Linked DNA regions of Notamacropus eugenii. The protein of the gene in region 2 purifies or fractionates together with the protein of the main gene of each other region. This does not show direct contact. Links are inferred from orthologs where the notes say so. Each region holds a gene or a part of one and is shown on either strand. Other genes may lie near its edges.

Region 1 (7,977 bases), on a different chromosome or scaffold from region 2:
CATGATCAAACACTCTGACCTGGATTCTCTTCTTTTTATATACCCTCCGTCTTGATCGTCTCTTTAGCTCTTATGTGTTTATTGATCGTCGCTGTGATGCAAATGAACTCTTGTTTATTGGTCCAGCTTTAATTTCCACTGAGTTCCACATTATTGGATATCTCCCTTAAGCATAAACGATACAAAAGTTGTCCAAAACAAAACTCATTTTCTTCCCCTCCTGCCTCCAAACTTGCTCTTCATGGCACCACCACGCTTCCAGTTATCCACGTTCAAAACCTTATCATCATCTGCAACTCTTCCCCCTCCTTCACCTTGTTGTGAGGATCAAATGAAAGAATATTTTTTTGAAAGCCCTTAGGACAGTGCCTGGCCAAGAGGAGGTACTCTAAAAATGCTTATTCCTTTCCCTTCCCTACCCTTTCATCACTATCCAATCAGTTGCCAAATCTTGTTAATTGTAATTTCATAACATCTCTTATATCTCTGCTCATCTTTCTGCTAACATGAATTCCACTTTAGTTTAAGCCAGGCATACACAACCTGCAGCCCATGTGCAGGCCATTTGTGGCTTGCCAAAGGATTTCCTCTACATTTTTCATGGGCTGCCTGAAATCCTTTGGTGTGCCATAAGCAGCCCAAGGGCCATAGGTTGTGCAGACCTGCTTTAGGCCCTCATCACCTCTTGTTTGAATTATTGGGACTGTCTTCTGATCATCCTACCCAATCTATCCTTCACACTACTATCAAAATAATTTGAAAATAAATGTCTGACCCTAGCATTCTCCAGCTCAGAAACTTTCAGTGGCTTCCCTCTTACCACTAGGATGAAATACAGACTTTGCAGCATGACATTGAAAGGCCTTCACAATCTGCCTCCAACCTATGTCTCTAAGCTTCTTACTATATTCCACTCAAACTGACCTTACTGCTATTCCCAGTATTCCATCCCTCTACCCCAGTATCTTTGCACAAGTCATCTGTCCCCATAAACCTGATATGTACCTCATCTTCATCTCCACTTTTTACAATCTCTAATTTTTTTAAAGACATGGCTCAGCCTGTGTGGTACTTAGTATGGGAAATTTTTATGAATCCCCCTTATTTTTAGATATGACTATGGAGAGACAGTTAAAAATACTGAACAGCAGTTGGTAATGCAGTTCGTAACAAATTGCGGCTGGATATATAGTACTAGGGGTCTTATCCATAAACATTATGGTTGAACTCATAGAAGTTAACGAGATAACCAAGAAAGTTGGTGTAGCAAGAGACAAGACCTGGGACAGAGTCCTGGAGAATATACCTGTAAGCATAAACATTAGTGTATGCATGAAGGAGTGGCCAGACAGGCTAACTAGTAGAAGACCAAGTTTAGGATGACATAGTGGCCAATGGTATCAGTTACTGCAGAGAAGTCAAAGATAAGAACTGAGAAAAAGGCCAAGGATTTGACAATCAATACACTTGATAGCCTTGGAGAAAGCAATTTTAGCTGAGTGCTAAGGTTAGAAGCCAGACTGCAAGAAGTTGAAAAATGATTGTGAAGTAAGAAAATGGTGACAACAAGTATAGACAGCTTTTTCTGGGAGTTTGGGGGTAAAAGCAGAGAGAAGGAAAGGATGATAATTTGAGGTAATAGTAGATGAAGTGATGGATTTTTAGAAATGGGAGAGGACATTTGGGCATGTTTATAAGTAAGGATGACTGTATCTTACACTACAATTTAGTAGTCTCTGCTAAGATTGTTTTGGGTTTTAGCATGGTTTTATCAATGTAGGAGGTCTCTCCACACATGTACATCTAATCTGTAATTTATAGCCTTAGCTGCCTGGAAACACTCAAAGGTTAAGTAATTTACCATGATCATGTAGCAAATATGTCAAAAGTAGGACTTAGTGATTCAACTGGAAAAGCACTGGCTCTGGAGTCAGAGGACCTGAGTCCAAATCCTACCTTCTGATGCTTATTATTTGTATGACCTTGGATAAGTTATTTACCCAAGATGGCTATTGAGGTTTCTTCCAGCTCTTAACCCATGATTCTAAGTCTTCCTGACACCAAGGCATGCCCTTTATCGATTGTGCCATCCTGCTTCTCAGTTTTGACTATTTAAATAAAAATTTTCAAGTTATAGAAGAGTAAAATTATATTTTAAAAGATCTTAAGCATTCATTTTATGTCTCTGGATGCAAAGATGTCCTTTATAAGGAGAAACCCCTAAGTATTGCTTTCAAATTAAAGTCATATAAAGAGTTGTAGGTGGACAATGCAGATATGGGGACTTTAAAAAGACTGGAGAGGAACTGGAAATCCAGGGAATGTCTATCAATTGGGGAATGGCTGAACAAGTTGTGGTATATGAATGTAATGGAATACTATTGTGCTATAAGAAATGATGAAAAGTAGGACTTCAGAAAAACTTGAAAAGACTTACATGAACTGATGCTGAGTGAAATGAGCAGAACCAGAACATTATACACGGTAACAGCCACAGTATGTGAAGACTGTTTCTGACAGACTTAGCCCTCCACAGCAATGCAAGGACCTAAAACATTCCCAAAAGATTCTTGAAGCAAAATGCCATCCATATCCAGAGAAAGAACTACGGAATCAGAATGCAGCAGTTTTGTTTTGTTTTTTTCTCATGGTTTCTCTCATTCATTTTAATTCCATGCAACATGACTAATGTGAAAATGTATTTAAAAGAATGTATGTGTAGAACCCATATAAAATTGCATGCCATCTCGGGGAACAAGCAGGGAGGAGGAGAAAATTTAAAACTTATGGAAGTGATTGTTGAAAACTGAGGACAAATTAATTTTTTTTTAAAAATTTAAAAAATAAAAATATATCCATTAAGAAAAAAATTAAAATCAAAATCCTACTATAAAAAAAATTGCTTTTCTTTGGCTGAAAAAAATAAAAATATAAAGATTGGAGCGGGAAGAGCATTAATTCAAAATCTTCTCCAGTGGGTCTTTGGTTGCATTAGTAAAAAGGGTGAGCTTATCATCATGTATCTTAGCGGTACATGTTATGAGTGCACAATCATAATGCCATAGCCATATTCCCCTAATGGGGAATATGTTTTTGTTATTGCCCTAATGGTGTCATGGCCCATGTAACAAGCTGATGCTTCAGGCAAACTAATTTTAATGTATTTTAAACCAAAATGTCAGGTTGTTGTGCACAGGATGGGATAAAAGGGAAAAAGTACTAATAGCATAGTGTAAGAGTGGGGAACCTGCGGCCTTGAGGCCACATGTGGCCCTCTAGGTCCTCAGGTGTGGCCCTTTGAATCTAAACTTCACAGAACAAATCCCCTTAAAAAGTGATTTGTTCTATAAAACTTAGACTCAGTCAAAGAGCTGCACTTGAGGACCTAAAAGGCCACAAACTTCCTCTTCCCCTTCCCTTCCCTCTCCTTTCCCAAAACCTTAAATCTACTGCACTCAGAAGCTCAGACACAACTGGGCCCCTGCCTAAGGACTCTTCTGGACCCTCCTGGCTTAATGATTATCACTAGTAACCGTTGCTGTTTCCCTCCCAGCCTGATGTCTTTCTTTTTCTTTGCCTCATTAAAGGGCCTACTTCTTAAACAGGCCTATTCAATGAATGGGTGTTACCTCACCCTAAGTGAGTACCTGTATAGCCCTTGGCCAAGGTCTTCCAGTGCACCTTGGGTCATCTCCAGTCATCCTGATGAATATCTGGTCACTGAATTCAGATGGTTCTGGAGGAGAAGTGAGGCTGGTGACCTGCACAAACCTCCCTCACTCAAAACAAAGGCAAGTGCAAGCCATGTCATCATTTCTCTGATGGTACAGTGTTCTTCGGCAACGAAGGATGAACACAAGAAGGCCACATGTAGCCTCGAGGCCATAGGTTCCCCACCCCTGGTGTAGTAGCTTGCATGGCATGGTGGAAAAAATGCTTGGATTTGGATTCAAATCCTGTCTCTGCCACTTCCTACTTCTGTGACCTTGGGCACAAGGAGCTTACCCTCTCTGAGCCTCAGTTCATCCGTAAAATTAAGGTGTTTGACCAGCTGGCCACTAAGGTTCCTTCTAAATCCATGATGTGTGATTTCTGTAGCACTCTGAGGTGTTTTCTTCACAATCCTAAGAGAGATTGAATAAGTATTATTGCCTCTCTTATTTTTAAAAAGTGTTTTGTCACTTTTTTGATGTCACTGCTTCCTCCTCCACCCCAACCTTCCCTTGTAAAGCATAAATTTAGTTAAGCAAAACAAATCAATACATTGGCTGTATTCTCATTCTGCACTTAAAATCCACCACTTTTCTGTTGAGAGATGAGAGACATGTTTGACCCTCAGTCCTCCAAAGACAACACTGGTCTAAGTTTTTCACATCCATTTTTACTGCAGAATAAGAATGTAATTACATTCCATCCCTATAGCACAATTTTTTCAACCACCACATGGGCACTTTGCTCCTGGTTGGTTCTTGCGTACATGAACCCATTCTGCCCTTCTGGTTTCCCCATTTTGCAGAATCAGAAATTAAGGCTTAGGGCAGTGAGCTTGGTCACAATAACATGTAGCTGGCCAGTGCTGGCGCTAGAATTTATCCCAGGCCTCCTGACCGTGCTCCGTGGCATGCCACATACATATTAAAATATAATTTATATAAATTGGAGTTACATGTAAAGCCAGTGAACTTCACTGCCTCTTAGGAGCGAGTGATACAGAGGTAACATCGTTCCTCATTTAGGAAAAGGTGATGACCTCGGAAGGAGAAGAGATCTTTTCTAGGGGGTGCCTGGAACTGGAAGGAAGATAGACCAACGTGAGAACAGCTGGAGCGGAGTCCCGCCTCCTGGAGAGCGCAGGCCCCGCCCTCCGCCCCGCCTTCCCGAAGGGGCTCCGTGGTGGGGGCGGCAACGTTGGACGGTGACGTATTCCAGAAGCCCTCGTTGGTTGGCTGAGGCAGCGGGCTCCCGCCCTTCTCGGAAGTAGCCGGGGAGCGAGGCGGCCCCAGCAGGGCTGGCTTGCCGCGAAGGTAAACATGGCGGCTGCGGACGCAGCGGCACCGTCCGCGGGTTTGACCCCAGCCCCGCTACTGGCTTCGGCTTCGGAGCCGGCCGCGATCCGGGCCAGTAGAGGAGATGCCACCACCTACGCGACCTCGGGCCGATGGGGTTTCGAAGCGGGGCTGCGAGGAAGCCGGGCTAGGACGGCGGGAGGAAAGCGGCAGCCCCCCACCGCGACCCCGAGCCCGGCTCCTGCGGGCGAGCTGATCCGGCCGTCGGTGTCGGAGCTGTCCCGGGCCGTGCGCACCAACATCCTGTGCACGGTGCGCGGCTGCGGTAAGATCCTGCCCAACGGGCCCGCGCTCAACATGCACCTGGTGAAGAGCCATCGCCTGCAGGTGAGGCCCCGTCCGCCCCCGACCCCCGCCGGCCTGCCCTCACCGGAGGCACGCACTCACGCCCCTACCTGGGAAGGGGCGAGGGTCGGTGCCACGAGGAGCCAGCGCCGGCTCGGCATGCCCCCCCCCCAGAAAAGCTTTGCCCTCTCGGCCAACATAGTTAAGCTCCTACTGTGTACCGTGTCCTGAGCCCTGTGCTCTCCGGCAGCCCCAGCCCTGATGGGACCCCGGGGCCCCTCCCTCCCCCACTCTGCCCTACCCCAGAGAGTGCCCGGTGAAGTCAGCAGCCACAGGTGAGGCTCGGAGCGCCCGCAGTCACGGTGACGGTGCTGCCCAGCACTACAGAGGTGTAAGCAAAGTGCCCTCCGAGGGGGCGCGGGGGGCGGCTGTTACCTCGGTGGCGGCCGACAGAGCTTTAGGGAGGAGGCGGCGCTTCCCTGGGTTGCGCCCAGCCAGGCCTGACTCCCTGCATCCTTGACCCGGACCGGGGGCTGGCGGGGAGTGTGGTCTGCGGACCAGTCCGCCGGGAGAAAGCTATTGTTGGATCGGTGTAGTGGGCTGGCGGCGAGGAGAGGCCGGTCTACACAAAGCCAGTGGAACCTGGGCTTCGTCCCCTTTTGGGGGGGGGGGGGGGGGGCAGACTGCTTGTCAACATAGCAGCGAGGGACCTGCCGGTGGAGGACCGTGGTCCAGGACTTGTTAAGGGCCTTTCCTGAGCCAGGCAGTGTGCCAGACTGGGAACTCTAGGGCGAAAAAGGTCCTGCTCCCCAGGAGCTCCATTTAATAAGGGAGAAACCTTTGTTGAAATCGTTGAAAACAGCCAGGGACAGACGAGGTACGCGCCAGATAAACTGGAGAGAATCAGTGGAGGGAAGGTACTGACGGTGAGAGGCATCCAGAAAAGCGGCGTGCAGAAGGGGGAATTTTAGCTGGGGCTTTGGGGAAACCAGGAGCTGAGATGAGGAGGGAAGAGGCTTCCAGGCGGGGAGGACAGCTGTGGAACATGCCCAGTCGACATGGAGCATCTCGTGCCAGGACCGGCTAGGATGCCATTGTCGCCGTATTGCAGAGCACTGGCGGGTGGGGGTGGGGGAGGTAAGGGGTAAGAAAACTGGAAAGGTAGGGGGCTGGATAGATAGATGGTTTCGGAATCCTAATGAGAACGTGGTAGAACTCCCTTACTAGGTTCAGAAAATGGTGGTGAGTCCAAAGATGAGAAATTAGAGGGTTTTTAGACTTAAATTTAAAGAGAGAAAGAAACGAGAGGATTTAGAATGGGTGTAAAAGCTGTAGTAGTCCTGTTTTCTTTAACTGACTTCCATTAATTATCTCAAGTGGCTTTGTCTCCCGTAGCCAAGGATTCTGGTCCTTTGATTCTATGGATTATTCCAGCCCATCTTTGTGCTGCAGTTTTCAAAGGATTGCAACAAATATTCATTAAGACTTTTTATGTTCCAGGCCATGTGAATGAATGAAAATGCACATATTAAGCACTGACTTCTCCAAGTCTGGCACAGTGCTGGGAAGATAAAAACAAGCAAATTAGACAGTGCCTGGCTTCCAGGAGCTTACATTCTAATGGGGAAGACTGTATTCAAAGGGGAACTAGAGATTAAAATGGAGAAGTGAAGAACAGGGCTGTGAGCACAGCAGCATAGCTTAGGGCACCCTGTGGCAGGAGTCCCCAGTTCTATTGGGAGTAAGAGGACCATGGGACTTGGAGATGAAGGGGGAGTATTAGACCCTGGATCCTCCTGGATATTAGTTGGCATATCACTACCAAGATGTATCTTTTAATAACTTGCATTTAACCCCTGTCTGTGGGATTACAGTAATACTCATAATTTTATGGTATTTTAAGGTTTACAAAACTTTCTTCATAACACCCCTGGGAGGTAGCTAGTACAAGCATTAAACTCCAATATTTATTTTTAACAGAAGGGAAATGATCTGCTTAAGATCACACAGTTAGTAAATAAATTACATTTGCTCCATTACTCTTGACTTTAGGTTTTCTGAGTTTTAAGTACAGTATTCTTTCCATTATGCTAGGCTGTGCCATTGTTGTAATGATAGATGTGCCTCTAAAGATTTGAGCTAAACAGTTAGTATATAAGAACTATTTTTCAAAGCTAGTTCAAGAATACAGGTATATTTGCCCATTTTTCAAAAATTTCATTTCAAAAAAATGAACATGAAATAAAGGAAATTGCAAGAGGCCACTCATTAGCAGTCCAGTAAATTTAATGAATCTGAGAGGGAAAAGGATACTTTTGGAGAAAATAGAATTTTTGTGTGTCATTTCAACTTGGATCTCATAATAATCTATCCTGGAGTTTGGAAGGCTGCTTTTAAAGTAGCTATCTTTTAATTCCATTTCAAATTTGACTTTTCAGGCCCATTTTGTCTGCAGGAAAGCCCATGTAATTTATCCAACCTTCTTTTCTGAGTTAGATGATCTTTCAGTGGAAAGCAGGAACCACCTACTCTCAGTCTGTTTCCTAGGTGGGTGTAGGTAAAGGAAGTTCCTTTTGATCAGTCAAGAAGTATTTATCTACTAAATATGTGCCTAAATTCTGTTTAT
Region 2 (7,508 bases):
TACTACAATTCAACAAACCTTATTAAGTACCTACTATGTGCGAAAATATTGAATCAGGTTCTGAGACACCAAAATTTAAAATTCCCTTTCCTCAAGATGCTTATATTCCAGGAGAATGCATTCTCCAGTAATTTAGCATCCTACCCTAGATCTGGACCTCTCCTCTGGACAGAACAGGATTCTGTTTCCTATGCCTCCAGTCTCCTTTCTCTGCATATAGAGCTTCATCCTGAATATAGAGCTAAAGTAATCGTGCCAATAAACAGGTCTTGCTCCCCTGTTCAGAAACTTTCACTGGCTTCCCACTGCCTTGAAGATAAAATACTAGAATCTAAGGTGCTTTACAGTCTCATTCAAACAACTCTTTTCTTCATACATTGTATTTCAGGACAAACAGGTTTGTAAGTTATTTCCCAAACTCAATATTATACCCATTTCCTTTTTTTTTATCCAGACTTGTAATTTCATCTGTCAGAAACTGCTAGTGAGAAAACTCTCCTTATTAATGAAGGCCACTAACCATGTAACCATGACATGCCTGGGATCACATAGCCAGTATGTATGTGTCAGAAGCAGGATTTAAATCCAGGTCTTCTTGACTCCGAGGCTAGTGTGGACCCTGTACTGGCTTCACCCAACTTCCTTTCCCATTCTTGACCCCTTCACGAACCAGGTGGACTCTACAATGTCCTCTTCTTTCAAAGCCCTTGCCCTGTTATGGTATCACCCTGCCCAGCTTTTGATTACTCCTAGAGTCTACTGCTGTTTCTGTTCATTACCTGTAGAATGAAGTTGGAGAGAATCATAAAACCATGCTAATTTCGTCTATTACAAGTCCATGTTACATACTATCATAACATAATATCAACTGGTCTCCTGCTTCTGCAGGGAAATCTTTTTACATCTCCTTAATAAATTCATGATCCTACTCACCAAAGTGACTTTTTTCAACCTTCCTATACCTCTCCTATCTTCACCGTCTCAGTTTAGAACCTTGCTTCAGAATTCACTAAAGAAACTGAGGCAATTCATTAAGAGCTACCTCTTTTCCCTTCCTCTTTTTATATTTTTCATGACTGGACTATTTCAATAGCCTGCTGGTTGGTCTCTCTCACCCCAGTCCTTCCTTCACTCAGTTATCAAGGTGATCTTAAAACCTATGTCTAACCACAATTCAGTAAATTTCAGTGGCTTCTTATTGATAGAATATGAAATGCTCTCTTTGGTTTGTAAAGCCCTTTACAACTTGGTTTCTTCCTATCTTTTCAGTCTTCTTATACTTTACTCCCCTCTATAGATTCTAAAGTCTGATGATTCTGGTCTTCTAGCTTCCCCTTACACGGGACACTCCATCTCTTGATTGTGTATTTTCACTGACTGTGCCCTATGCCTAGAATGCTCTCTCTTTTCACTTCCACTTTTTGGCCTCCTTCAAGTGTTAAATAAAATCTCACCTTCTGCAAGATTTTCCCAGTCCTTAATGTTAGTATCTTCCTGCTGAAATTACTTCAAATTTATTGTGTATATAGCTTGTTTGAACATAAGTTCTCTGTATACTGTTTTCCCCCATTAGATTATGAGTTTCTAAAGGGTCAGTGACTTTTTTTTTATTGTTTCTTTTTTTCTGCCTTTATTTATATCCCTAGCACTTAGCACAGTGCCTGGCACAAAATAATATATGGTGTAATAAATGCTTGTTGATCTGACTGGACATATGAGGCTGCCAAACTGCCTCACTAGTTGAATCCTTAAGGCTTAGGAAATTTTTAGTTTTTCTATTGAGAGTGCCAACAAGGGGTAAAATTTAGAACTAGTTGCATACCACTTTCTGTGTTATGGAAATAGATCAGCATCCTAGACTGAGTTCACATGGGCTTTTACAGAACAGCTGTCTGAAATACTTTTTGAACCTTAAGTCATCTGGGTCAGTGTTAGAAGTGGTGACCTATGAAAGGGTCTACTAGTCCCATGTGGTATTTAGACTATCCTACCTTATTGAATAATTTTTGATATCCATGATTTGCTGAAAATTTTTTCAATAGAAATACAATAAAGTCTTATAAAGCAACCTAAGTTAATGGTTTAAGATGCACATTTAAAGTATCTCATTAGAGCTCAGGATTCATGTTTTCTAATACTTCCACTTTTGAGGTTTGGGACCTAACTTGACCTACCTCTTTATCCCATTATAATATCATTTTCAGTGTGAAAATTTGTTAGTTCTGTTTAAATAATTTCCAATTCATAAATTTTTTATGAATCATTCATTCTTTATTTGCTGTGCAAAGACTTCAATGATTCTAACATTTCTCCATTAATTTTTTTTTCTGCTCAGTGTGTAATTCAAAACTCTTCATCAATCCTTTGAAAATTAGAACATTTATTTTAGTATGAAAAAGGATTACCAGAGGTTCAGCCATGCCTGCCATCCATGGAAGGAATCCTTGCCAATACTCCACTGGATGAAGTCTCAGAAGGATGAAGAGCTCTTACAGTAGAAGATAATAGAGCAGGGAACATCCCCAATGTAAGTTCTTTGACAGTAGGAATTGTTTCAATTTGTATTCTACTCCCCCAGTGCCTAGCCCAGTACCTGGAAATCAATCAATCAACTACCATTTATGAAATTCCTAATATAGTGAGCTCTTAATAATAAAGTGATTGGATAGCACTAGAGCCTTAACCAGGAATTAACTAGGACAAGGGTCCCCAACCATGTCCAGTGTAAGTGGAGGAACACTGACCTCATTTTTTATTTTTTAAAAAAAATTTGAAAAATTTATTATTTTTATCATTCTTTTATTTCCAAATTTTGAGTTCCAAATTCTCTCCCTCCCTCCCCTTCTCTACCTACTAAGAAGGCAAGCAATATGATATCAGTTATACATGTGAAATCATGCAAAACATTTCCATATTGAAAAAATTGCAAGAAAAATAAAGTGAGGAAAATATACTACAATTTGCACTGGAGTTCATCAGTTCTCTTTCTGGAGGTGGACAGCATTTTTTCTTTATGAATCCTTTAGAATTGTCTTAGGTCATTGTCTTCATCAGAGAAGTCAAGTCTTTCATAGTTGATCATCATTACGATTGTTACTGTGAACAATAATCTCTGTTCTCACTTCACTTTGCATCCGTTCACATAAATCTTGTCACCTTTCTCTGAAATCACCCCCTTCCTGATGTCTTACAGCACAATTGCACTCCATTACAATCATGAAACAATTTGTTCAGCCATTCCCCAACTTATTGGCATCCCCTCAACAGTCCAATTCTTTATTCTTTGTCACCAGAAAAAGCTGCTTGAAATATTTTTGTACATATAGGTCCTTTCTCTTTTCTCTCTTTGGGATATAGACCTAGTAGTGGTACTGCTGGGTCAAAGGGTAGGCACAGCATAAAATTCTTTATAAAGTCTTCGTTTGGGGAGGGGATTAGGCTGTAAAATGAAAAAGGCAGAAGGGCAAGGGTATAGTGGAATAAGCTTGGACCTAGGAAACTTGAGTTCCAGTCATGGCTGACTTCATCTCTCTGGGCCCCAGATTCCTCATTTGTGAAATTAGATTAAATTGGACATAAATATATGTATATATATTTCTCTAATTCTAGTTCCTATGATCTTTAGGTCCCCAACCTTCTCTATCTTGCTTAATATTATAACAGTTTTTCCTCCTTTAACTGTTTGCATACATTCATTTTAAATAAAACAGCAGATCAAGAAAAGGAGATAAAAGCCCCACAGTTCTTAAAATAATTAGGGTTGCTCTAGGGAAATCAAGGAGAAAGCACTTTAACAGGCCCCTCCTCTGCGCTTACCACCCGGGGATACCCTTTTGCACTCCCTCTCGTACTCTTACCCAGGCCAGTCTGGGCTCTTCTCTTCTCCTCCCTCCTCCCTACAACACGTGCTCCGGCCAAAATGCTCGCTCCCTACCGTCCCGAACACGGGAGGGCTAGGGAGGGCGGAGAGATACCCAGACCAATCCCCCTGGTTCTTACAGCTTCCTGCCCTTCCAAAGCTGCGCCGACCAATCAGCAGAGCCGTAACGTGAATTGCCCCCGTCCTCTTTCTCTCTCCCCTCCCTCTCTGCCCCCTCCCCCCGCCTCCTCTCTCCTCCCCCCTCACCCCCCCTCGGAAGCGGAGCCTGCGAGAGGGAGAAACTGGGGCAGAAGTGAAGATGGCGGCGGCGGTGTTGGTGGCGGTAGCGGCGTCTCGCCTGTGAGCGCGGTGCGGACTCATTTCCCTCCCCACCTTCCCCCCAACGCCCGACCCTCCCGTCCGCCGCCCCCCTCCAGCCCCCAGCGTCCCGGTGGCCTAGTCCCTCCCAGCACGACTCTGGGCTACCTCCTCAAGCCCTCCCGGCTCCCGACGCCCGCCCTCCAGCCCAGCCGCGGCCCCGATCTCGTCCTCGTCCTCGTCCTCCCGCCTCCTCCTCCCGCACCCCCACCTCGCCCCCTCCCCGGTTTTTCATCCTCTTCCCTCCTCCTCCCTCCGCCTCTCTCCTCCCCGTCCCTCCTCCTAGTCTTCCTCCTCCTCCTCCCCCCCCTCGGCGCGGGGGGAGCTGCTGGCGGGTGGCTCGTCTGCCTTCTCTCCCGTCCGCCCGCCAGCCGGGCCGGCCGGCCCCGCACACACGGCCCGGAGTGGGGGGGGAGCCGGAGGACGAGGACGAGGAAGAGGAGGAAGAGAAGCCCGAGGAGGGGGAGGAGGAGACGGCCCCTGCGCATTTGGTTCCCTCCTTTGGGGGGCTGGGAGGAGGAGGACGAGAAGAGGGGTTGTTTTTGGGGGGAGGGGGGACGGGTTAGCGCGAGGGAGGTGGGGTGTCCTAGGGAGGAGGACGAGGAGGAAGCACCATGACGTCCATCCATTTCGTCGTTCACCCGCTGCCGGGCACCGAGGACCAGCTCAATGACAGGTAAGGGGGACGGGGAGGGGGAACCCCCAAGTTACCCTTCCCATCCTCCTAGACCTCCCATCTCCTCTTTGTGGGAGGTGGGGCAGTGCGACGCCACGGGGCCCGAGGGTGCTGGGGGGTGGGCTGGTGGGGTGTGTTTTTTTTGGGGGGGGAACGTGAAGAGGGGAGATTCTAGGTGTCTCACTCTCTCTTCCTCCTCCTCTTCCTGCCTCTCGGATATAGGCCTTATCCAGGGTAAACTTCTGTTACAGGGAAGAAGAGGAGAGGACTGGGGGAGGGGGAGGGGAGAGGAGAGGGAACCGAGGGTCTTATTCCAGCCCCCTCCTTGGGAATCGTGTGGAACAGGAGAGAGGGGAACGAGCCAAGCAGCCCTTTTCCCTAGGAGGAGTAGCCTGTAATGACTGCCGGGCCCAGGCCCGAGGAATCCATATTAGTCAAAGTTGAATTGAGACAGACAATGCGGATGGGGGATGGTGGAGGTGAAAAGGGAGGGAAGGTGACCGAGGAGTCCGGGCCTCGGGGGTGGCGGTGGGGGGTGGAGGGGCTGGATGAAGCGTGCCCTGGATCTCTGGGTGGCCTGCATCCCCGGGCCAGATTGCTTTCAGAAGCCAGGGAGTATAGGCTTTGGCCCACTACGGGAAAGGGGAGTAGCCCATTCGCAGTTTCGGGGGGGGGGATGCTAGTGGGGGGAGTTTGAACTGGAGGAAACGCCATATTATGATTATTTAATTTGAGCCCCCGCTGTGGTGAGGCATGCCGATCCAGGGAGGGGGTCGAATCCAAGCCAAGAGATGGAAGTGGTAGCACATCCCGAAATGGGTAGGCAGGCCCATTATCACCGTCTCAGGCCAGCCTTTTGATGTTCGCTTTTTCTCTCTCTTTTTTGGTCTCTCCCCAACATCGTAGGGGGAGGGGTTTCCCCTTGGTAATTTGGCAGAAGAAAATATACCTTGGTCTACTTAGTAAAAACTCTTCTTAATCCCGGAGAAGGGTTGGCCACGGGGTTTGTGGGGTTAGTTACATATTGTTTTGTTTTTCAAAATTGGAATGTGTTGCTTACCGCTGTTCTTGCTCTCCGTGGCCTAGTACATAAGATACAGAATTGCAGGGCTGCACGTTCACTTTGAACCTAGAAAACCCAGGAAAAGTTCCTTCACTGTTGCAACAGAGGCTCGGAAAAGGTTGAGAAGAGGCCTCCATTAAATCCTGTCTTAGGTCCAACCCTGGGCTCAGTGTTTACAGGATCAGAAAGTAGGTCACTTTAAGCTTTCCCCTGTTAGTATGCTAGATCCTAAATATACTTGTGCGGGCCTTGGAAGGCCATCTCGGACTGAAGTTGGGGAGTTACGTGTAATTTTTGCCGGTGACCCGGTGACACAATTCGCATGACGCCCTGTTTGTCATGCGCTTCCCGGAGAGAGGAAGAGGCCTGCCTAACTTGCTGCTAAGAGATTGGCCTTCGTTTCTCTGTGTGTGTACGTATGTAAGCACTTCCAATGTGGCCAGCAGCAGTTCTTCAGTTAGAGGGCAAAGATGTTTCAAGAAATGTCCAATTTTGCTGAAGCCATGTTATTGTTTTTTTTTTAAGATTATGGTAGGAAATGAGTTAGCTGCATGGGGTTCTCAGAACTTTTCCAAGTTGCTTATTTTGAATTCATTTCTTTCAGTAGTCTATATTTTAAATGTCATTTTACCTGGATGCTTTTAAAGAGTCAAAGGCGCTTGATATATTTAGATAGTTTCTGTAAAATCAAGCCACTTGACAGCTGTAAGATTATCCTCCAAGTCTTCTGTATTTTTAATATGTCTTTTATATATAAAGCCAAACCCAAGGGGAAGTAGAGAAATGAATGTTTTCTCATATATATCTTAATTTGTATGTTCCAAGAATTTTGACTGCTGTTTTTCATAGAAAAACTTCAAATCAGCTTCTCAGTGTTTTTATAGGAGCAAGGTCTTTAATTTAAAAGTTTTTGTTTCTTTTTATGTATGTGAAAAATGTATAAGTATGTACCTTATTTTGTTAAGATCATTATCACTATTAGTATGCCCAAGTAATCAACTTAAAAATTGTTGTTGAATATAATGCTTAGTATAGAAAATAACATCTCACATAAAAGAATGGAGTGATTAAAAAGGAAAGTATTTAAAGCTTAGAATATTTGTGTGTTATTTTTACATTACCTACAGTCTTCGCAGATGTTAAACACATACAGTGCTGTAAGTAGCATTTTTTAAAGTCATAGATAATAGTTATGGAAATGTCTTCCTGTGGATATTTTCTTTTCAGTTGTCAACATTTGGTACTGGAGTCATATACATAGTGCGATTTCGAAGTATTTAACTTTCATGGACATGTATAGAGAACCTCTTTTGAAAGAGACACATTTCACTATCTCTGGCAAGTTATGGAAACAAATATATTGTGGCATTGCTTGTTAAAATCTAACACTTCAAGTATAAAAAACTTCTGTCTTGTGAATTCTTTTGAATTAAAAGGAAGCTTTAATTGAAAATACTTTGTTTTGATGGCTTAAGAGAAATTTTTATTAGGGTTCACTTAGTGATAGTTGTAGAAAAGACCTGTCATTCTTC

Evidence for each region.
Region 1: the proteins of UBR5 (region 2) and ATMIN purify together in Homo sapiens (affinity purification with western blotting; 3 studies listed by BioGRID). This does not show direct contact. The link is inferred for Notamacropus eugenii from reciprocal best matches to the Homo sapiens genes UBR5 and ATMIN.

Annotation. Positions count from the first base shown.
Region 1 is NC_092872.1:542,052,173-542,060,149, forward strand, and holds the start of ATMIN (ATM interactor), read left to right. Parts: upstream 1-4,961; 5' UTR 4,962-5,030; coding exon 5,031-5,393; intron 5,394-7,977. UniProt on the Homo sapiens protein: Transcription factor. Plays a crucial role in cell survival and RAD51 foci formation in response to methylating DNA damage. Involved in regulating the activity of ATM in the absence of DNA damage. May play a role in stabilizing ATM.
Region 2 is NC_092875.1:148,573,511-148,581,018, forward strand, and holds the start of UBR5 (E3 ubiquitin-protein ligase UBR5), read left to right. Parts: upstream 1-4,498; 5' UTR 4,499-4,851; coding exon 4,852-4,913; intron 4,914-7,508. UniProt on the Homo sapiens protein: E3 ubiquitin-protein ligase involved in different protein quality control pathways in the cytoplasm and nucleus. Mainly acts as a ubiquitin chain elongator that extends pre-ubiquitinated substrates.